Oreochromis niloticus: one gene and its partner. The protein of the gene in region 1 purifies or fractionates together with the protein of each later gene. This does not show direct contact. Links are inferred from orthologs where the notes say so. Each region holds a gene or a part of one and is shown in the gene's direction. Other genes may lie near its edges.

The links.
Region 2: the proteins of psmg1 (region 1) and pomp purify together in Homo sapiens (affinity purification with mass spectrometry; 4 studies listed by BioGRID and IntAct, with this or other methods). This does not show direct contact. The link is inferred for Oreochromis niloticus from reciprocal best matches to the Homo sapiens genes PSMG1 and POMP.

Annotation. Positions count from the first base shown.
Region 1 is NC_031975.2:24,232,190-24,243,921, reverse strand, and holds the start of psmg1 (proteasome assembly chaperone 1), read left to right. Parts: upstream 1-6,297; 5' UTR 6,298-6,401; coding exon 6,402-6,520; intron 6,521-7,988; coding exon 7,989-8,092; intron 8,093-8,883; coding exon 8,884-9,029; intron 9,030-10,605; coding exon 10,606-10,668; intron 10,669-11,707; coding exon 11,708-11,732. UniProt on the Homo sapiens protein: Chaperone protein which promotes assembly of the 20S proteasome as part of a heterodimer with PSMG2.
Region 2 is NC_031974.2:26,855,893-26,866,283, reverse strand, and holds pomp (proteasome maturation protein), read left to right. Parts: upstream 1-6,668; 5' UTR 6,669-6,750; coding exon 6,751-6,828; intron 6,829-7,149; coding exon 7,150-7,247; intron 7,248-7,379; coding exon 7,380-7,440; intron 7,441-7,632; coding exon 7,633-7,734; intron 7,735-7,821; coding exon 7,822-7,915; intron 7,916-8,010; coding exon 8,011-8,078; 3' UTR 8,079-8,302; downstream 8,303-10,391. Other genes in the region: lg9h11orf65 (protein MFI), read left to right, coding at 2,840-2,844, 3,778-3,859, 3,952-4,044, 4,116-4,169, 4,280-4,489, 4,665-4,795, 5,010-5,180, 5,313-5,368 and 1 more. UniProt on the Homo sapiens protein: Molecular chaperone essential for the assembly of standard proteasomes and immunoproteasomes. Degraded after completion of proteasome maturation. Mediates the association of 20S preproteasome with the endoplasmic reticulum.

The DNA of each region.
Region 1 (11,732 bases):
ATTACTTTATTTTGAGCTGACACCAACATTACAGACTCGCCTGCTGGTTACTTTCTATATTGGTTTTTAAAAACAGTGAGAATCACTCGTTAATCAGTCAATAATTAATCAGGTCTGAGTTTGATCTGTGTCTGTGTTTAGTATTTGTACAGTCTTTAGAGGATCTGTGATGCTCTTCTCTATATTGTTATGTTTTTAGCAGAAACTAGAAGATGTAAAGGCAGGTACTGAGACAGAAAAACAACAAACACACTTTTAGGGTTTTTATTACAAGACCAGAATGTACAATATTGAAGAGGGGTTGGTGAAGAGTGTGCTGGCTGCTGAGGTCCTTCACAGGTGAATAATTTTTCCAGAGTGAGTGTTTGATTATGAGCCCAAGGGGAGGCTGGCACTTAAGGTGATGTAGAGTGGACGAAGGGAAAATGGTTAAATACGTGAATACATAACAGAGCCTGGAGCAGTTCTAAAAGACGGAACGATCTGGAAATATGTGCAAGTAATGAGTTGGTGGGAAACGGGTGCACTAACATGAGATTTGTCAGGAACAGGTGACACTACTCCAGCCAGACTTTCAGTCCATCTAAACTTTTAATCCATCAATAAGTAGCTAAAAAGAAGGATTCACATCATTATTGGACTCCACCCACCCATCCATCCATCCATCCATCCATCCATCCATCCATCCATCTATTCTCTTCCACTTATCCAGTTCAGGGCTACAGGGGACTGGAGCCTATCCCAGCTCCTACATGGTGAGAGGTAGAGTACATCATGGACAGGCTGCCAACCAATCGCAGGGCCAATAAGACACATAAACAAGAGTTCATATTCACCAGTTTAAAATCTCCACTTAACCTAACTCCATACATGTCTTTGGACTCTAGAAGGACGCGGGAATACTGGTAGAGTGTCCACACAAACATGGGAAGAACATGCAAATTCAACAGAGAAAGACATACTAATACTAATAAACATTATACATGTCCACCGGTGTTAATATCTACCACAGTAATGCAGTTCTTGTATCATTAGCTCAGCTATAATCCAATATGTAAAACCAGAGGGTCACTAATGTTATAGAAGTCATCCCAAGGGGACCATGAGTATCTGGAGCACATTAATCATAATCCATCCAATAACTAGGATATCTCTGTCACCACACTCACAAAGACGACACTAGATGTAACACAAACCATCTTCACTGTGTTCACAGTGTTAGTGTTATGTCAGAGCAATTAGCAGTTATCTATATTTAACCCATATTTTCTTTGAAAAAATGAATTGCTGTCCATGAAGCCCATCAAAGGTTAGGCATTTATTAGATGTTTTTGTGCCCGTCCTAAAACTCAAGTTAATTATTATCTGATATAGTGCTACTTAACAAGATTTTCATTAACAATTCAGCTCACTGATAACTGTGATGGTTGAGTTCCTTTTATCATTGCACTGCTCCCTAGTTTTGCTATACCTCTATGTAGAAAAGAGCCTCAGATTCTCTTGACAAATATCGACTCCTCACTTGTCTGTCACTCTTCATTTGTCCTTAAGGGTGACAGTCAATTAGACGAGAGCATTTCCAGGACTTGATTTCACTCAGCTAGCTCTGCAAGGCCTCAAGGAGCAGCTGTTCAGTGAGGTGAGAGGCTGGTGGCTGAGTTTCCAGACCAAAATGGAATTGTGTCCCTATTTTCATCCTGATGCACTAAAAGTGCAGCTTGCCTGAAATTGAAATGAGAGTCTTGCAGTTCTGGGTATCCACACCTGCCTGGTATGCACCTCAATCATTCAGCAGGTTTGACAGTGAGAGCTAAGTTTAAAGAGAGGGAAATGCAATAAACCTGAATATGTAAACATGGCATCTTACAAATATGAAAACCTGGAAAACAACACAATAAAAAAGATCTGTTCATGAGTCAAAATCTCTCTCTCTTGTGGAAGCACAATACATTTTTTGACTCAAGAAAAAATAACAAGTGCTTTCAAATTGGTGTATGTATGAATAGCTCCATTGTCTTGTCTGCTTCTGTGTGAACTACACTCTCTTTTGTGCATAATTAATGCTCTTAAATGTGTGAAAGGTAACCTTGTCTCGTATGCCTCTGCGTGAAAAGTACCCTCTTCTGTGGATAATTAATATTGTCAAATTGTTCTCGGTGTGAGCAGTGTGCTTTCTCCCTTCCCTCTTTACCTTTGTGTTAACAGTATAGTTGTTGCTTTTGTGTGTCAGCTATGTTTATTTCATGTTTTCTAAGTAGAGATTGTTTTGGTTGATTTGGAATTCATTCTTCTTATATAATGAGATTTTCTTTAAAAGCCTAATTCATGCAGCTTAATCAGCAGGCGAGATGGGTATGTTGAGATAAATCTTTTAAGGGGAGACGAGCACGCCCCTGCCAACCACCGCAGGAGGAATGTGGTGCTCTTGATCAAAGTGTAGGACAAACAGACAAACCCTCGTCCTCACTGGACGGACTCCTTGTCTGTCCCCTCTGACTGTCTGTCCTATTTTTAATGGACAGTAAAGTTGTGACATGGCCTGTTTGTCCCATTGTTGACATTCCTCTCTTCTCTTAAGCCCTGGAGGCTTTGTGTTTGTTAAGCTGTAGAGCATCCCTCCTCCTCTTCCTCCCTCTCTCCCCTCTCTCTACTATCAATTACATTAACAGCAGCCCGAAGCTTCCCCCTAGCATGTTGCTCCATTTTGTGACAGGAAGCCTCACTGCTGTTAGTTTATGGCCTTCTGCTACATTATTGCACTACACTGGTAATAGAGCATACTCTCTATTCTAGTCCAGACTTTGTCCTCCAATCCGATCCCTCTTTCCAACGCCAGACATTTTCTGGTGACAATGAAGTATTTTTATGGCTGTGCTGATATCATCACATTTCTGTTTGTCCCTCATCTCCCAGGGCACCGCTTACGGGAAAATAAATTATACAATACAATAGATGGGGTGGATGCTCTGCAGTCAACTTGAGGCCAATTTGCCCTAACATGACTTGGCTTGTGTTTCCAGCTAGCTATACAGCTGAAGGTAATTTGAAAGCTTCTGAAATTTTGTATTCCTGCTTTCTTCCTCGTGTTAATTATGCATTACCAGTAAGAAGCTGGTGGAGCCATGTGGCATGTCAAGTTTACCTCTGATTGGTACCAAGGCCAGAAATACAGGGAGTGCAGAATTATTGGGCAAGTTGTATTTTTGAGGAATAATTTTATTATTGAACAACAACCATGTTCTCAATGAACCCAAAAAACTCATTAATATCAAAGCTGAATGTTTTTGGAAGTAGTTTTTAGTTTTAGCTATTTTAGGGGGATATCCGTGTGTGCAGGTGACTATTACTGTGCATAATTATTAGGCAACTTAACAAAAAACAAATATGTACCCATTTCAATTATTTATTTTTACCAGTGAAACCAATATAACATCTCCACATTCACAAATATACATTTCTGACATTCAAAAACAAAACAAAAACAAATCAGCGACCAATATAGCCACCTTTCTTTGCAAGGACACTCAAAAGCCTGCCATCCATGGATTCTGTCAGTGTTTTGATCTGTTCACCATCAACATTGCGTGCAGCAGCAACCACAGCCTCCCAGACACTGTTCAGAGAGGTGTACTGTTTTCCCTCCTTGTAAATCTCACATTTGATGATGGACCACAGGTTCTCAATGGGGTTCAGATCAGGTGAACAAGGAGGCCATGTCATTAGTTTTTCTTCTTTTATACCCTTTCTTGCCAGCCACGCTGTGGAGTACTTGGACGCGTGTGATGGAGCATTGTCCTGCATGAAAATCACGTTTTTCTTGAAGGATGCAGACTTCTTCCTGTACCACTGCTTGAAGAAGGTGTCTTCCAGAAACTGGCAGTAGGACTGGGAGTTGAGCTTGACTCCATCCTCAACCCGAAAAGGCCCCACAAGCTCATCTTTGATGATACCAGCCCAAACCAGTACTCCACCTCCAACTTGCTGGCGTCTGAGTCGGACTGGAGCTCTCTGCCCTTTACCAATCCAGCCACGGGCCCATCCATCTGGCCCATCCAGACTCACTCTCATTTCATCAGTCCATAAAACCTTAGAAAAATCAGTCTTGAGATATTTCTTGGCCCAGTCTTGACGTTTCAGCTTGTGTGTCTTGTTCAGTGGTGGTCGTCTTTCAGCCTTTCTTACCTTGGCCATGTCTCTGAGTACTGCACACCTTGTGCTTTTGGGCACTCCAGTGATGTTGCAGCTCTGAAATATGGCCAAACTGGTGGCAAGTGGCATCTTGGCAGCTGCACGCTTGACTTTTCTCAGTTCATGGGCAGTTATTTTGCGCCTTGGTTTTTCCACACGTTTCTTGCGACCCTGTTGACTATTTTGAATGAAACGCTTGATTGTTCGATGATCACGCTTCAGAAGCTTTGCAATTTTAAGACTGCTGCATCCCTCTGCAAGATATCTCACTATTTTGGACTTTTCTGAGCCTGTCAAGTCCTTCTTTTGACCCATTTTGCCAAAGGAAAGGAAGTTGCCTAATAATTATGCACACCTGATATAGGGTGTTGATGTCATTAGACCACACCCCTTCTCATTACAGAGATGCACATCACCTAATATGCTTAATTGGTAGTAGGCTTTTGAGCCTATACAGCTTGGAGTAAGACAACATGCATGAAGAGGATGATGTGGACAAAATACTCATTTGCCTAATAATTCTGCACTCCCTGTAGTACATCAAGCATCCCGACTCTAATTGCTTGTCGTATTGAAGCCAGTATGCATTGTAAAACCACACACCATGTGAATTCAATGGAGAGCCACAGCCTTAAATCATTCATTGATTTGAGTGAACTGCAATGGCAGAAAAACGCTGGAAAGTCATGCCGCCTCAGGCTTTGAGCTTCCCCCAAGGATTGTGTGGAGTGATGGTTTTGCACTTCTCCGTGTGCATGCACAGCATGTTTGAGCCACTCAATTTAAGGTATTTCTACACATGAGACGGTAATATTACGCTTCACTTGCTTCAAGCTTGATCTTAAAGCTGACCGTTTGCTCATTTGAACATTGAAATAGCTTTTATTGTTTTAATCATTTCTCCTGTTCATTCACAACCCAGAAACGATATAAAATGAACAGGAATCCTACTGTAAGCAACAACAACAAAAAAAGAAAGAAAGAAAGAAAAAAAAAAGAAATCTCTGAACAGTCTCATTTTTTCTCCCCCGAAACTCTTAAATAAATTGCACATAAATTCCCAATATTGAAACTCATATGTGGACATTAAGGTTTAAGTTCTTTCTTTCTTTTTTTTTTTTTTGTAATAAACAGAAGTTCAATAAACACGGCAGTTAAAAAAAATCTGGCAATTATTTCATGGTTCAGACTTACACCATTAAAAGACACTGGAGAAAAAATAAAAAACTATTTTAAGATAATTGAATGCAAAAATAGTTTTCATCTATTTATTTAGCTCTAACACACTGACATAGTTTATCTCAAGGAGTTAAGATCTTCGGCCAGTTAGATAACTTTATGAGAGTCAAACTCTATATTTCACTGGCCACAAACAGCAAATTTGATCTGAAATGTATTGTTATTATTATTATTATTATGATTATTATAATTCATAAAGAAATGTTAAAAGTTCTGGAAATGTTTACTCTTAATGAAGCATCTGTTTACAAAACACATGATTAGCAGCTCAATATTTTTACACATGCCACTTCCTTAGCTACACCTTTCTAGCACTGGTTCAGAATTCCTTTGACCTTCAGAACTGCCTTAATTCTTCATATCATGGATTTAACAAGCAGCTGGAAACAAAGAGATTTTGGTCCTGACTTGATAGCATCACGGGATTGCTGCAGATTTGCCAGCTGCACATCCATGATTTGATTCTCCCATTCCACCACATCCCAAAGATTTCTGTTGGATTGACATTGGAGACTTTGGAGGGCATTTGAGAACAGTGAACTCACAGTTTTGTCGAAGAAATCAGTCCAATTAGTTCAGTTCATATGTTGTGCCTTTATAAATGCTCTTCTGCATACCTTGGTCAGAGCAAGTGGTTATTTCTCGAAACTGCTACTTTTAAATATCCAAGTATTTTCATTATCGTGAAATATTGCTATTCCCACAGGAGGAGCTAACCAGCAATTTACTGATATAATTTGAAGTATTAAAGATGATTTCTTTGCAATTTTGGCCAATGCTGTCCACCGGACCTCATGTTTAACAATCTGGGGTTTGTAGGCTCAACTCATTTATTCTGAAATTTCAGTGTTTAAAATTAGGCTTTTATTCTGAAGGGCTCGTGCTGCCGGCGGAAGTCGTGGCATGCATGTCATGGCTACCTGTCTGAAAAATCTGTAGCTAAACTTTCACTTTGTTCTGAAAGCACAACGATTATGGCGACGTTTTTTGGGGAAGTCCTGTCGGTTTACTCTCGGGCTGTGGAGGAAGACGACGATGAGCTTGATGAAAACGAGGAAGATGAGCAAATCCGCAGAGAGCTGGAGGAAAAAAGGTAAATAACCAGCTGTAGCATCGGGTAGTGAGCGCAGAGAAAGCATGCAGAGGGGAATCAGGTTTAGTTAATCTAGCTAGTTAGCTATCTTAAATTCAGAGATTATTGCCAGTGAAATACTAAGACGTACAAAAATATGCGGACCATATCATCCCAATTTAAGCATTTTCTCACTCGGTCAGCTGGATGGATATCTGCCGCTGAAGCTAACTGAGCTAACATGACACATGAGTTTTCAGTTCACCCATTCAAACAGCATTTACACACTTAATGCAGGAACCTGTTTTTAACACTTTTATCAAGTGTACAAAAAGATATGGCAACATTGTCATTGCTATTATGCCCTTAAATAAGGAAATGGTTAGTAATAATAATAATAATATTAATGATAATATAGAGTAGTCAAACAAAAAGTTAGGGTAGTGTCAGGAAGGGCATCCTCAAGAATGAGATTTCCATAAAAATCAGTCGAAGCCGGTTTATCAGTGCTGCTGAGTGAAGACGGAGGAAGAGAAGAGGTGTGTTTGGAAGCTGCCAGAGAGAAGGAAAGGTAGGAGGTGAGGGTAAGGACTTTAAATGCAAAGGATTTTAAATGTGAAGCTTCCAGGATGACGGAAAGAGGAAGACAACAGAGAAAAATAATGGATGCAATGAAGGAGGAGATACAGAGGGTTGGTCTGACAGAGGAAGATATTAGGGAGAAAGGGTGAGATGGAGGCGTTATCCATTTCAAAATCATAAAAGTATTTGTATGTGTAGTTTTTCCAGAATTTGTTCCAGAGAATAGCACATTTTAGGAGTGATTTCATGATTATTTTATGTAAAAGAAAAAAAACTTAATTATATTAAAATTAAATTATACTAAAATTTAATTTTTCAAAGCCAAACCAACACATTGTGTGATGACAGGCAAAAAGTAGACACTTTTTTATTTTGTTTTTTTGTCTTTCTTTTCATTCATTATATAGACAAAAGTTCATGTTACACTTCCAGGAGCTGCTCAGCTATGGAAACCTGTAAAATTCCCAGCACACATTTTTGTGCTGATGTTAATGCCAGGGGAAGTTTGGGACTCTGCTTTCAATGAGCAAGCAGAGCGTAGGCGACGTTTACGCTCTGTACGCCTCAGCACTCAGCAATCCAGCCCTGTACATGGTTTCTGAATGCTTCCCAATTCCCATAATACCACTTAAAGTTGTTTGTGGAATATCTAGTAGGGGACAATTTCACAAACTGTTGCAACAGTGGCGTCCTATTACAGCAGGACACTTGAGTTTAGTGAGCTTCGTGGTACGACGTGTGGAAGGCTGTCTAAACTTTAATCTGAGTTTAAATATTTTGTTCACTAAGCTGAGAACCCAGGATACAGATTGGCAGATCTCATTAGGAGGAGCAGTTTTATAAATGTATGAAAATGTTGATTGGGGGAAAAATCTTTAAAATCTTTCTTCTCTATAAAACCAAACAGAGAGGTTCATCTGCACTGGAGCCCCGAAGTCTCTGAGTCGCTGAAGTCTGGAAACAAGTTGCAGTGTTCAAACTTCGTCCTTGCTGTGGGACAAAATGCTTCCAGTAAGTTGCTGCTGTCTCTCTCCTGTCTGCTGACTCGCCTGTGATTGGTTTAACTAGATGCCCAATATTATTACACATTAAATTAATATTTAATATCCCTGTCGGGACACTGGAACACGGTGGACCAAAATGTCAGCTCAGAGGCAGTAACAGAATATTCCCAAGAATCTTTTGTACTTTTAAAAATGATGAGTTGGGGAGCCAGTGAGAATACGGTGCTAAAACACTGCAGGAAGTATAATGCAGACAGTCTACGATTAGTGTTTTGATCATCAGTTAATCTGCAGCTTATTTTCTCAATTATTCAATGAGTCTTGAACCTTTGAATTTGTGGTTTTTTAATTAGTTTTTTTTTTTTACTAACTGTTTTCACTAAGTTGGTGACAGTTTTGTTTCTTTGAAGTGAGGTTTTGATCCACAGCTGTAGGTGGCAGTAGGCCACGCCCCTCGGCAACACTAACGCCGTATGCTACTGTGGACTGGGATAGCAGCAGTTGACATCAGATCTTTTTCAATCCAGTTTTATTTATTTAGCACCAAATGACAACAATAGTTGCCTTAAGGCACTGTATATTGTAAGCCCAGTTAAATAATTTTGTTAGTTTTCCAAGCCTACCTTCAATATGTTAAGTCTGGACTTTTATTTGTGCTCATAATCTTTCCTTTTGCTGTTGTTCCCTTCCGTAAGGGGTACCAGTAGCACTCTTGTTATTTCATGTTTCCTATTTGGAAATAAACACTTGAGTAACTTGTGAGCTTTCTTTGAAAACTGAGAGACTCTGTCTTCACAGGTTTTCTGTCAGTGCACATCCTGTCCACGGCAAACTGGGATACAATCGGACGTGCGTCGGCGTGGAACGAGAGGAGCCGAGCTGTAACGGGGCAAAGCTGCGAGGAATCGGCGTGTGTTTTCTACAGACACAAGGACAACCCAACAGTGAGTGACGCACCGAGCGAGGCAGCACTTCAAAATATGTCTGAAAGCACCTGACGGTCGAGAACTCGATGATCATTCAGTTTAATGGGTTTGCTCCTGAACTTCTGTTTAATATTTTTCAAGTGCTGTTTGAGATGTTCTCTCATTTATATCAAGGGCACTTTATAATGGCTGTGGCCTGTTCGCTGTCGAGCTGCAAACAGATGAGATATTATAAAAGAAAAATCTGAATAAATTACGCGCAGTGCAAGAGTAAAGAATGAAATGCTGGTTCTGTTACAAGACTTGGAAGAGAGGCCATTACACAGAGGATTAATGAACCCTGGTAATCTAGTGTCTGTTGTCAGAGTTATAACCGACCGGTTGATTGTGTGTAGAACCGCCTGCCCTCATCCACACGTGATTCAATCGAGATAAATGTAGTGAACGGTTGCTCCTGTGCTGCCGAGGAAGCTTCAGATTTATCACACGTGTCCTGCTGCCTTCAGGTGGCTGCTGGGATTTAATGTACTGGAGGACCACAGGAGCAGCTGTGGACAGCAGATACCACAACAGTTGGCCATTAATTTAAAGATCACTGATTTACTAAAAGTCCTGTTAGCACAACCTTCATTTTTAATGCTGATTTAAAGGGTGGGGAGTGTGTTTTAGACAGTAGTTGGTGTGTATGGTGAAAAATAATGCAGCAAAAGCGGGGATATTAAGTCCAAATAAAGCTCTCGGTTCAGTGTAGGATCAATAAACGTGATTTTTCTTTGAAGAGTTGAGAAGCCTGAAGATGTTTGTAATGCGTCCACTTTAATCAGTCATCAGTGGAAGAAGATAAATCATTGATTTATCTTTTTTGATAAAGGCAAAATACCCAGTGTTTGCTGACCTCATGTTCTTGATTGAAATCTGGGAGAATTAACTGACTAAATAGTAAAGTAATGCTCTAACATAACCAACAAAATCAGTTGTAGAGTGTTGAATCAAACTAATTTAGCTACGTATTTAGCGGAGGGGGTGGCTACAGCCTGTCCCCTGTCCTAGACCGAGAGGCGGGTTACACCCTGGAAAAGGTCACCAGTTCATCCCAGTGAAAGACAACCATTCTCTTTCACATTCACACCCAGTTTAGCCAATTTAGAATCACCTAAACTCATCTTTGTCTTTCTGTGGGGCTCCAAATTTACCGGTCCCATGTCTTTCAGTGTCTGTGTTTTGGCTGGTAAACATCTTGTAGTTGGGTTTGCAGTAGAGTGTTACATCCCACAATGCAACAGTAAAAAAAAAAAAAAAAAGGCCACATGAACTTCTGGATTCTTTGAATATTTAAGAATGTTACAGCTATTTAAGCATTAATCCATACTTGTGGGTCCTCTGGGTGTTTAGTTTGACTTTAACTCAATAACTTTAACTAATTATTGTAGAGCTTAAAATGTTGATTTACTCTTCTCTGATTTAATCTAATTTAATCAGTTAGAATACAGGGAAGTCCTGTTACATTTGAATGTTAAAGGTCGGAAAATGTTTTTTTTTTTAATTACAAAAGCATAGTTGTTGCATAAAAAGTTTTTTTTTTCTTTCCTTGAAGGTTTTGATATGCCAGGTGTCGTGCTACGTTGCAGAAGACCAGCTTTTTCAGTGGACAGAAAAGGTATGTTTAATGAACTAAGCGAAGAACTGCAGGGAGATTGTGTTATGTTGTCATTCTAGACTTTTTTAATGATGTGAAATGTGGGCCAGTGGTTGTTGACGACCCATTCTGAGGTCTTGAGCTGAGCATTTTTGACACTGAATGCTCATAAGCTAAGCACGATTTAAAGAAAGCCCTGCTTCATGCAAGAAACTACCGGCTGAGCCTATAAACTCAGATTAGAGATGTCAAATAAAACTTCTGGGTTGGGGTTAGGGCCTTGATTTTACAACAGAAGGAGTTGTCCCCTGAAGTTTAATGCATTTAAACTTCAAACTTCCATCATTTATATACAGTTTATTGTTTCTTTGTGCAGAGCCGTTCAGGCCGGCATCTGCTTCTCAGTCTCTAAACCGATAAAGCTTAAGGTTTGCTATAATATACATTTATCAGTATCTCATCCAGGCATGATCAAGAAGCGCAGATTTTCAGACCAAACAGGAGAACTGTGATAAAGTGTGATCTTGTGATGGTTGTTGGTGCCATGCAGGCTGGTTATAGAGATCAGAAACTGCTGATCTCCTGGGATTTGTTATAGTGCAAAGCAGGGTAGCATCTCTGTACACACTAAACCTTCAAATTGGCTACAGCAGCAGGAGACCAAAGCAAATTTCACTCCATTTGGCTGAGAACAATAAACTAAGGCTGTACTAGACACCAGTAAACCAAAACAGGAGCAAATTGGAAAAATACCAACCGGTCTCACGAGTCTCCAGTTCTGCTGCCAAATAGGGCAGAATTTGGTGTAAACAACATCGATCTATCCTGCTTCGTGCCAAAGGTTCCGGCTGGTGGTAGTGTGGAACTTTTTCTTGGTACATATTAGGTCCCTTATGTGTTCTATAATAAATCAACCGCTGAGTGTACAGTAATTATTTATTTACTGGCATTTTTTAACCACACACTGAGATTACAGTGAGACATGGAGGTGGTTTTTCAGCGTGACCAGCATGGTTAAAGTGTTGTTTGCCTGACTGTGTGTTTCTTTTGTCTCCTGTAGGTGTTTGACTGTCTGCAGCACAGAG
Region 2 (10,391 bases), on another chromosome or scaffold:
GTAGTACAATTATTCCACCCTGCAAAAACACAGTTGAAAGAGATCATTAAAAGCTGCAAAACTACTAAATTGTATAACTATCTATTGTCCTTTATTTTATTGAAATTTATTTATTGAAAACCAGTTTTTCAATTAAAAAAAAAGATAAGAATTTTAGCTGAATGGAACGTTTAAAATTACAAGAGAAAGCTTCTTTAAAATAACATAATTCTCAGAAGTTTGTAAGTTAGGGGTGGAAATGCTCCTAGTCAAAGAGCTGTCAACAATAGCTAAAATATCTGAAAAAACAAAAGCAGACTACAAAGAGCTTCTTATTTAGTATCCCAAAATAGCAAAAATAGGTTTTTGTGTTTTTTCAAAGTCATTAACCACGAAGTACTGGGGTGAATTAAGGAGCACTTTAGATTCAGTTTGTAGAGATCACAAAATTCTTATCTGCTAAGCCTGCTGAGATATATTCTCGCATCAATATATAGATATTTTTTTCGTCATTTTGACAGATTTCTTGTCAATGCTTTACTTAGCAGCTCAAAACTGAAACTAATTGAAGGTGTCAACTAAGGAAAACCATGGAGGAGAGTTGTACCATCAGAAATGCAAACTTCAAATTTAACAGTCAAGTAATTTTTTTACATGCTAATGTAGTGTGACTTATGCCTTTGCAACACAAATTTCAGTCAAATCCCAGGGTTGACTGAAAGGGTTGAAAATTCAACTGTGTTGAAACTACCTCCAACATATCTTGAGTATTCACTCTAAAAACCAGCCTAGCTAATATAAAAATATCTGTCCTTGTTAGGAATCACAGTGACAGCACATCCCCCACAGAGAAAAGAAATAGACTCCTGCTTTGAATACATGTGAAATGAGTTTTGCTACATGCCCACAGGCATTGGTTGGGAAATGCATTCTGTGCCTATTTGCATAAAGGACATCTTTCTAGTTAGCAATTCATATCTACAAATGTTCTGGTCCACAGCTATGAGGACAGTTTATCTGGAAAGCAAACAGGACTGCAGTCTGGGTAATATATAGACCACAAATGCATGTTTGAATATTCAGCAGCTAATAAATATAGAAAAAGTGCTGAGAAATTCTGCCTGCCTGCAGGCAATTCACTTTTTATTTAAATGTTTAGTTTGAAAATGAAGGAGCAGAAACTGAAATATAAATGTCGTTTTTATATGTGAATGTGATTGATTCATTTGGGTTTGGTGGAATTGGTTTGATAGTGTCGAGACAGAGACTCATGAAAACACCTGCGCCTGTTTTTGCACCATCAAGATAAAACAAGGCAATTCTGCAATTTTTTTGGCTTTTGGGTTCCTAAATTTCCCTCAGTATGCTGTATTTGAAATAAAATCTCATGTGCAGGATCTGGGCTCTGGTAGACTTTTAGTGCCAATGCATGAAGTCACTTCAACATTAAGAGCTCTGATTTGCTGCAGTTTCTTATTACCATGGAGAAATCCCACACAGCTGGGTGATGAATCTGTGCCTCGCTATCTGACAAACTAATTGAGTGGGTTGACTAAGAAACACAGGGTCTTGCTGCCTGGCCTGGCTGTTCGAGTCAAGAGGCTGAGAGAAAAGAACATTACTCATTAGAGATTTGAAAAGTTCCTTTCTGATTCAGTATGTGAGTGCTGGTACTGGTATTGCTCATTTTGTGGGGACAAATCTGTTCAAACAGTCATATTTAATGGACGTGCCCACCTTTTGTGACAAAAATAAACAAATCCCAACTAATGGAAATTTGTGAAATTTTATTAATAAGAAGGTTCGAGGTAAGGATTTGGCATATAATACGGTTGGAGTCTAAAGTTTCAGAAAATATATGCATACTAAAGATTAATGTCAACCATAAGAGTGGTGGAAAAACCAGAGAAGCTGGGGTTACTTGTTAAAGAGCTCCATCTAATGGTCAGTGATATTAAAACTACACTCATTTGCCACTATATTAGGTATGCCTGTTCAATAAGTCGTTAATGCAAATATCTAATCAGCTAATCATATGGCAGCAACTCTGTGCATTTAGGCTTGTAGACATGGTCTATTCAAGGTCAAACTGAGCATCTGAATGGGGAAGAAAGGTGGTTTAAATGGCTCTAAACATGACGTGGTTGTGGGTGACTGCTCTGCGTGTTTCAGAAACTGCTGAACTGCTGGGATTTTAGCACAAAACCTCACAGAATGGTCCAAAAAAGATCAAATATCCAGTCCCTCACCCTGCCAGAGTATTGTTTCTGACCATGGCTGCTGATGGCTGCTTCCAGCAGGATAACATGCCATGTCACAAAACTTTAATCATCTGGTTTCTTGAACCTAACAATGAGTTGACTGTACTTAAAGGGCCCCCACAGTCACCAGATCTCAAACCAATTAAGCACATTTGGGATGTGGTAGAAAGGGAGAATCACAACATGGACAAATCTGCAGCAGCTGTGTGATGCTATCATTTCAATATGGACCAAAATCTCTGAGGAATGTTTTCAGTACTTTGTTGAAGCTATGCCATGAAGAATTAAGGCAATTCTTAAGGCAAAAAAGGGCTAAAGTCAAGACCTATAGAGATGTATCTAATTTTTATTTATTTATTTATGTATTTATTTATTTATTTGTACCTGGGCTTGTAAAATATCAGTCTTGGTCTTGACTTATAATGAACTTCTATGTCCTACCGTTAAGTAATACAACTGAGCAAAACAACATTTTATTTTGAAAGTACTTTCCGGAAGACTAATTAATGTCAGGCTATGTTGCCAAGTAACTTACTGAGATATTTTCAAAGCTTCTGCTGTCATCAGCTGATAAGTTTAGACATTTATTGGCAGCAGTCATGAGGTGATGTATATTTTACATCATAATGACGTTTGCATATGATAAGAAGTCACGTGTGTATCACACAATGTAAATACTGTAGATATTATTTCCCTGGCTTAAGTTAGCTAACGTTAGCTGTTTGATGCCTTAGCTTAGTTCCCAGATAAATTGCAAACTTTAAATCATCTTATTTTTGTATTGTACATAGTTGGGACAACATTTTTATGACTTTTCCATTATGCAGAAGTTTTTATGCCGTTTTATTGATACATACACACAGAGAATCAGAATACTTTATTGATCCATAGGGAAAATTATGTAGAACAAAAACTCTCTCAATCCACATGATTGGGGGAAAGATAATAAACAGATGAAAGTACAAGTAAGGGAAAAAAAAGCTAAACTAACGAGAAAAAAGCAAGACAAACTGCAGCAGGCTGTGACAGGCTGCATGCTGGTCGGCGCATGCGCACTGAAAACCCCGTTTTTATTTTATCACAGTAATTACCAATATGCTATGTCAGAAATTGCTTGAATAAGTTATTATTCTGGCATAGTATTACTAAGGCAATTTAATAGGCAACTAATGTGCTGCTGTGTATGATATTTTAGAAAATGACTGCACATTTTTATATTTAAAGTCCTAATAACAGTTAACCTTAACAGTTGGTTAAAAGTAATGGAAAATGTACATTAAAAAAATCAGCTTAATTCCTCCCAAATAAAAGGACGGTGAATTACCAATATAAAGTCAATTAAAATGACTAAAATTTGAATAAAGTAAAAGTGCATACCACCAGATTATACGAAAAATAAGTATCTAAGTCAGTGTAAATATTCCACTATTGGTTCTCTCATCAGTAGAACTCATCATAAGATACATTATGCAATATATTGTAATGTAAAAAATAATCGGTCTCTTTGTCCTTCCTTCTCATGTTTCCTCTTCTGTAGCTTGCAGGAGGAGGAGCCCCAACAAGGGACACTGCAGGAAGTGGCAGTCAGAATAATTCAGAGGGCTTGGAGAGGATATGTGGTAGGAGCATCTGCTACTACTGCTATGGGAACACAGACTCACATATGTGCACAATTGTAGGCACAACTTGTTTTTATCTACCCAAATTGCAGGCCAGTGAAGTCTTCAGGTATTTCAAAGAGCTGATTTTCTACTGCAAACAGCGGGATCCAAAGACCATCCTCAAAACTGTCAATCCTCGAGAGGTAATGGAAATTGCAACCCCTATGAAATAAAACCAAATCAAACAAAATGAAATGTGATTTTGTTGTGGCAGGCCGAACTACTGGATGCTGCAGCTGGAGTGTTTATCAGATTTCGACTTGGAGGGGTAAGAGCTCAGAGAGGAAATAGTATAGGTCAGGAATAGATCACTCAGGAGCTATATGGATATGATATTAGAGACATGCCTTCTGACATCTAACCTCTCTGCCACTTTAGATCAACTTTCCTCCCAATATCTATTACAAGATCTTCACCCATCGGCCCATTACGGATGTGTGTGCAGGCAGTCCGAAAGACTACACCAAGCAAAGCCGTAGGAAGCTTGTGGCCCAGAAGACCAACAAAGGCCCAGCCGTCGCAAAGGATGACCGATTGGGTTGGTACCAGCGCATGGAGAACAATAGTTGGAGGCTGTTCTGTAACAAGGTGAGGAACAAAAATGAGTTTTTGTTCTGCTTTAGTCAAGTTCTGCCATTTGTTTAGAAACAGTGAGCCAAAGAGCTACAGCAAGTTTACAAATGCTTTTTAACAGGAAGCTTCTAAAAGCCAAAGTTCTGCAAGTCTGTTTTTTTTTTGTTTTTTGCTTCGTCTTCTCTCTTAGGTGGTTTTAGCATGTGAGCCTGCAGAGATCGGTGCTGACAAAAAAATGGACTTTCATTACTCCAAGTTGCAGCGGAAGCAAGATTTAGAGAGGTGGAGGAAGAGAAAGAAAATTGAATGGCTGAAACAGATGTAAGCGCTTTTGTGAAATGAAACAGTTGGCGAGCAAACCACTGTGGCATCAGTGATCACAATAATTTAAATGCAATCTGAAGTTTGTGTCTGTTATTTATTAATAGTGATAGAAACCTCCCCCTTATAGAATCACATCTTTGCTAACAAACACATAATGGTGTGTTGCTTTAATTGTGCTAAATGAGCTGTCACTCCTGTTCCTTACATACAGGTATAAAGAGGGTCGTCTGCAGGATCATGCGGAGCACAGACACATGGCGGCCCTGGTGGAGAGTTCCACCCAGGAATTCATGGAGACCGTTGAAAAGAAAGGAGATGATGAAATACTGGAATGGGAGCTGGATGAGCTGCTGGCCTGGACCAACACTCTAAACTTCGAGGAGTAAGGCACACTGATTAGAATGTTTGTGGCATTTGTAATTTTTCTTATAATTTCCCGCATCGTAGGATGTACCCCGCCCCCCCACCACCACCACCACCACCGAGTATGAATTTTCCTCTCTTGCCTGTGCAGGTATATGGAGGAATGGAGACATTTGGCCTGTAGTTACTCCTCTGAGCAGAGCAAAGGTAAAAATATTCCCTAAATACTGTATTCTGTGCTGCCATCTGATTTTTTTAAATTGATAGCTAACATGGCAACATCATGTAGGTTGCTTTGGAAGTCTTTGGATGATCCTGATAATCCAGTCTCATGCTATTCTGTCTTCCTTTTTCTTCATCACCTTTTTCTCATATCTCCTACAGATGGCCCTTCTCACCCACCCAGGTTAGATCCACACGAGCTGGCAGCAGAACAAACATGATTTATGTTAAAACTGTGCAGTCTCGAAGTGGAGTGTGCCACACTGTTATTGTTGCAGTATTCACTTTAATAAAGTCTGAAACTTGCAGTTGTTTACAGTCTTTGTTAGTCTGTCATATAAGTAGACATCACTGTGTGCCATTTTTTGTTAGTGTGTAGACTATAGTTTGTTACAGTAACAGTGTGTTAAACCACATTCCGAATTCCAGAGAGTCAGACTGCCAAAAATTGTCCTTAATCATCAGCTCGCAAACATCTGCAAATCAACGTACAGCTGATATCCGGTGTGTTTGTATCCGTCTGATAGCTGGAAATCACCATGTGCCTATGGATTGCTGAGGTGACTGAATTGGCAGATCACCAGCTTCTACTGAATCAATTCCACATCCTTAGTTTCTCATGGAATAATGAGACATTTGGTCAATTTTCCAATACTTCTTGTGCTCAGAAGTACTTCTACTTCTGAGCATCTTAAAATCCAGTGCTGCATGAAAATGACTCCCCTTGTCTTCAATCACGTCTTGACTGTTCAATTCAAATATATGCTGGTGGTATATGAAGGCAAAATGACAATCCCAACTGGATCTAACTGTATTTATGGCTTTTGTGTTTCTTAACTTGATATCCGAGGGTGTTCAGCTCATTGTGGGAGCACACTGTACCACTGTAGAGAGAAGTGCATTTTACAGGTCAGCCTTACTTGTTACTTGTTTGATTGAAGCCATGTATCTGTAAATGTAATGCTACATAGTATGGTAATTGATGTAACAGATATTCTGGCTGTTATCATTATTATTATTATTATCATTAAATTCCAAAAGCTGTACTTGTCATTAAAGTGATAAATTAAAGTTTTGCAAATGACTAACGCAAAAATTGGAAAACAGGGGGCACCCGGATTTGAACCGGGGACCTCTTGATCTGCAGTCAAATGCTCTACCACTGAGCTATACCCCCTCACGTTTAGCACAGCGGACGCATACGTATTTGTCATGATCATAATCATTCCCCACACGAAGTTGGGAGTTCATGTTTCTATCTTCAGTTAAGTGATAACGAATTGATTTCGTATACTTTAGATACTGTACAGCACACGATAGTATGTTTAACTGGAAAGACGTGGTTCTGTACATAACGCTATCAGCGGATGTGTCGTCATCAAAACGAGACGCTACCGGATACAGCAGTGTATCGAAAGGAAAGGGGAACAAACGAAGTGAAAATGGTATGATAGCGTTTTTAATGCCTATACCATATTTTTTAAATATCTTAAGCCTTGTTGTTGCGTACTCTCTTTGCTTTAATAATCTGTGTGATCATTTGAAGTCTCGGTGGTGAAGCTGTTTGTTTTTAACCGTGCCCAAACTGAGTAGCTGTGAATTTGATTAGTCACTCGAGCTAATGCCAGCTAGCGCTTAGGTTAGCCACAAGGTCCCTTAGATAAATACAACTTCCAGTATTTGTTGCTATTAGCTACATTAGATAGCCATTAGCTAAGTGTGATCAAATGTAAATGGTTTATGTATGTCTTTGATGTGGACTACAGAATTCCAGAGGACTTCGCTCTCAGCTTAAGGACAGTGTACCTGTGGCTGGGTTCTCTCCACAGGGAGCTTACGGAGTGCAGGACTCCCTCCGTAGTGGGTGAGAAACTGTTAAAAATGAAACACAGTTGCATGATAACCTCAAAAAACACATTTTTGTATTAGCCCCCAAATAAAGAACAACGTGCTGTTTGTAACACTTTTTTTTTTCTCTACTACTTTTATTAAACAGATTTACCAGTGTTAAGAATGAACTGCTTCCAAGCCACCCGCTGGAGCTGTCAGAAAAAAATGTGAGTCATTAAACCAATTAATGCTGTCTCCATAAAATGCTTAAATGGTATTTGTGTTTTGTGCTTGGTTTTACTATAAAAATTACTTTTTTTGTCAAATGCAGCTCAGTTTAATCACAATAGACACAAAGGGCAAGTAGTAAAAATACGTTTCTCTCGGTATCTCACTGTTTTCTGTTTCTCCATGAGCAGTTCCAGTTGAACCAGGATAAGATGAATTTCTCAACACTCAGAAACATCCAGGGTCTTCACGCTCCTCTCAAACTGCAAATGGAGTACAGGGCGGCCCGACAGGTAGCTGCAGTCCTTTTTTAGGGTGTTCTCTTGTTTTGTTTTCTTTTTTCCTTCTCAGTCCTGACACCAACTGTTTCTTCCCTCCAGATCCAGCGTCTCCCATTCCTACAGAGCTCAAATTTGGCTCTCGATACGCTGCGAAACAGCGATGAGTCCATTGGATTTGAAGACGTCCTCAACGGTGGGAACCTTGTCCTTCCCTTTTACACCTTCAGTGATATGTGTGTTGAAATAAAACCATAGCTTATACTGTGCTTTTGTCTTTTTCCTTTATAGATCCAGCCCAGAGTGAAGTGATGGGTGAGCCACACATGATGGTGGAGTACAAATTGGGATTGTTGTGAACAGAGTTGGGCACACAGATCCATATTATTATTATGTATGAATACATTTGTTTATCAACTCCATAACCAAAGTTAGTAGTTGGTGGAGAGTTTTAGTTGTGGAGTACTTTTGAGCAGGACGTGTATGTGTGTGTGTGTAGTGATCTTGAAAAGAGTCACTCACACAGGCTGCTTTTGTATGATTTAATTTGGTTATTTCTAATAAACTTCATGACTCTCCTCATTGTCCTGGTTCATTTGATCAGTTATTTACATTTTTAGATGAGCTTGCGCTGATAAAATTACCTGGCATGTGTTCAGAGAGAAGGTGTAACAAAGCCTCACTACCCACTCTGAGTATGTTCACCTGTATAGCTAACATTGATTTGCCAATGCAACAGGTTAATAAAGAGCAACACTTGTATTTTAATCCATGTTATTCTTCACTTCACTCATTCTTCATTTGCCTAACTTGAAGTGTCCTTAAAAAAGTCATTGATATCTAAATCGTTCTTTTTCATCCCACAATTAAATTCTTCAAATATGTTATTTAAGTCTAATTGCATGTTTATACGACTGTACTCTCCATTTAGAGTTTAAGGAGCTGTTGGCAAGGCTCTCCACTTTCTCTTTTAAAATTTGCACTGTGAAGCCCGGGGTTGTTAACATTAATAGCAGGGTGGAAATCATTGAGGTTGAATTCATAATGGCTGCTGCTTGGTGGCATGGGCTGATCAAACATCTGCAACCAGTTGAAAAAACGCAGAGTATAGGTTTGTGATTGATGTTTTTCTGGGTGATGTATGATGCTCATGTGAAAATGTGCTAAAGAGAAATCCTACAAATTAACCCTAAAAAGGCACATCTGTGAAGTGAAAACCATTTCCGGTGACTATATCATGATGCTCATTGAGAGAAGGTTAAGGGTTTGTGGCACTGAAATAAGCAAAGCGTGGCTACTTTCAGGAATCTAAAATATAAAACATATTTAGTTATTTATCATTCTTTTTCGATGCTACATGATTCCATATTTCTTGCTTCATTTATTTGATGACTTCAGTTTGTATCTACAATATAGAAAAACCATGACAATGTGTGTCCAAACTTTTGACTGGTAGCTTTCAGGACAGTCGTTCATACATGCCTCTTCATTTGCTCTGATGTGTGACTTTCAGAAAAGGACTTGGTGCATTTTTTTGTGTGGCTTGTTGGTCTAGGGGTATGATTCTCGCTTAGGGTGCGAGAGGTCCCGGGTTCAAATCCCGGACGAGCCCATATGTTGTCTACGGGACCAAAATGTTGTTTAGCCTCTATTTGATCCAGCAGTCAGTGAGATGTTCTCTACAGATGCAAATCACACATGTTCCCATAGTATCTCATTTAGGAGCAGCTAAGAGATCTGATATAAATGACATCATTGGCCTTGGCCAAATAGAAAACACCCACAAATACTCCCAAAAATCTAGTGTTGTGTTCCTTTTTTATTTTCAAATATTGAATAACAAGACAAAACTGCAAAGGTGAATTAATTATTTTCGCACTCTTAATTAACTGAAGCTTTTCACTGAACTACCAAATAAACAACTTGGTACTCTCTTTCTGGCCAGTGTCATTGAAGTTTTTAAATAAACTATAAACATTTGATGAGTGTCTTTTGAAGTGGATTTTAATATTACGCTGCAGCCGAGAGAGCACTCTGGTCAAACGTCAAAATGGTCTCTAAGTGTACACATTCTTTTTTGACTGCTAGTGAAAAGTGTTTACTTTACAAATAACTCTCTCACTGAACTAACAGCCAATCCCTCAACAAGTTTGTGCTCTCTGTTCATATTGCCTTCATATTAAATCATTTTGTGCTTTTTAAAGAAATTATTTTTACATTGCACTCAACAACAAACAAATCCTCCCTAACAACAAAAGTAACTTCAATGGCGAAATTGCATTATATTTCTTCAGGTCAATATACAGGCTGCAAGTAGGAGTGAGGCCGCGAGTTTGAGACCCTTGCTAAAATGAAATGGTGCAGTCCCAGGTATTTAAACACCAGTGGGATGTGTCCCTTAAAGGAATCCAGACACTCATCTTTCAAAGCTCCTTAGACTAACAGGCCCTGGATGACTGAGAACAGACAAAACTACTAACTTTTAGGCACTGCTGGGAGTTGAACCCAGGATCTCCTGTTTTCTAGTTTAACACTTACTAGACAGGCACTTTAACCAACTAAGCCACAGTGCCACATACATGCCACACAGATCAGTGACTGATGAACACTGAGAAAACCTCCAACCATTAAATAGATTTGAGCCTAAACAGAAACACATGAAAGGCAGTCTT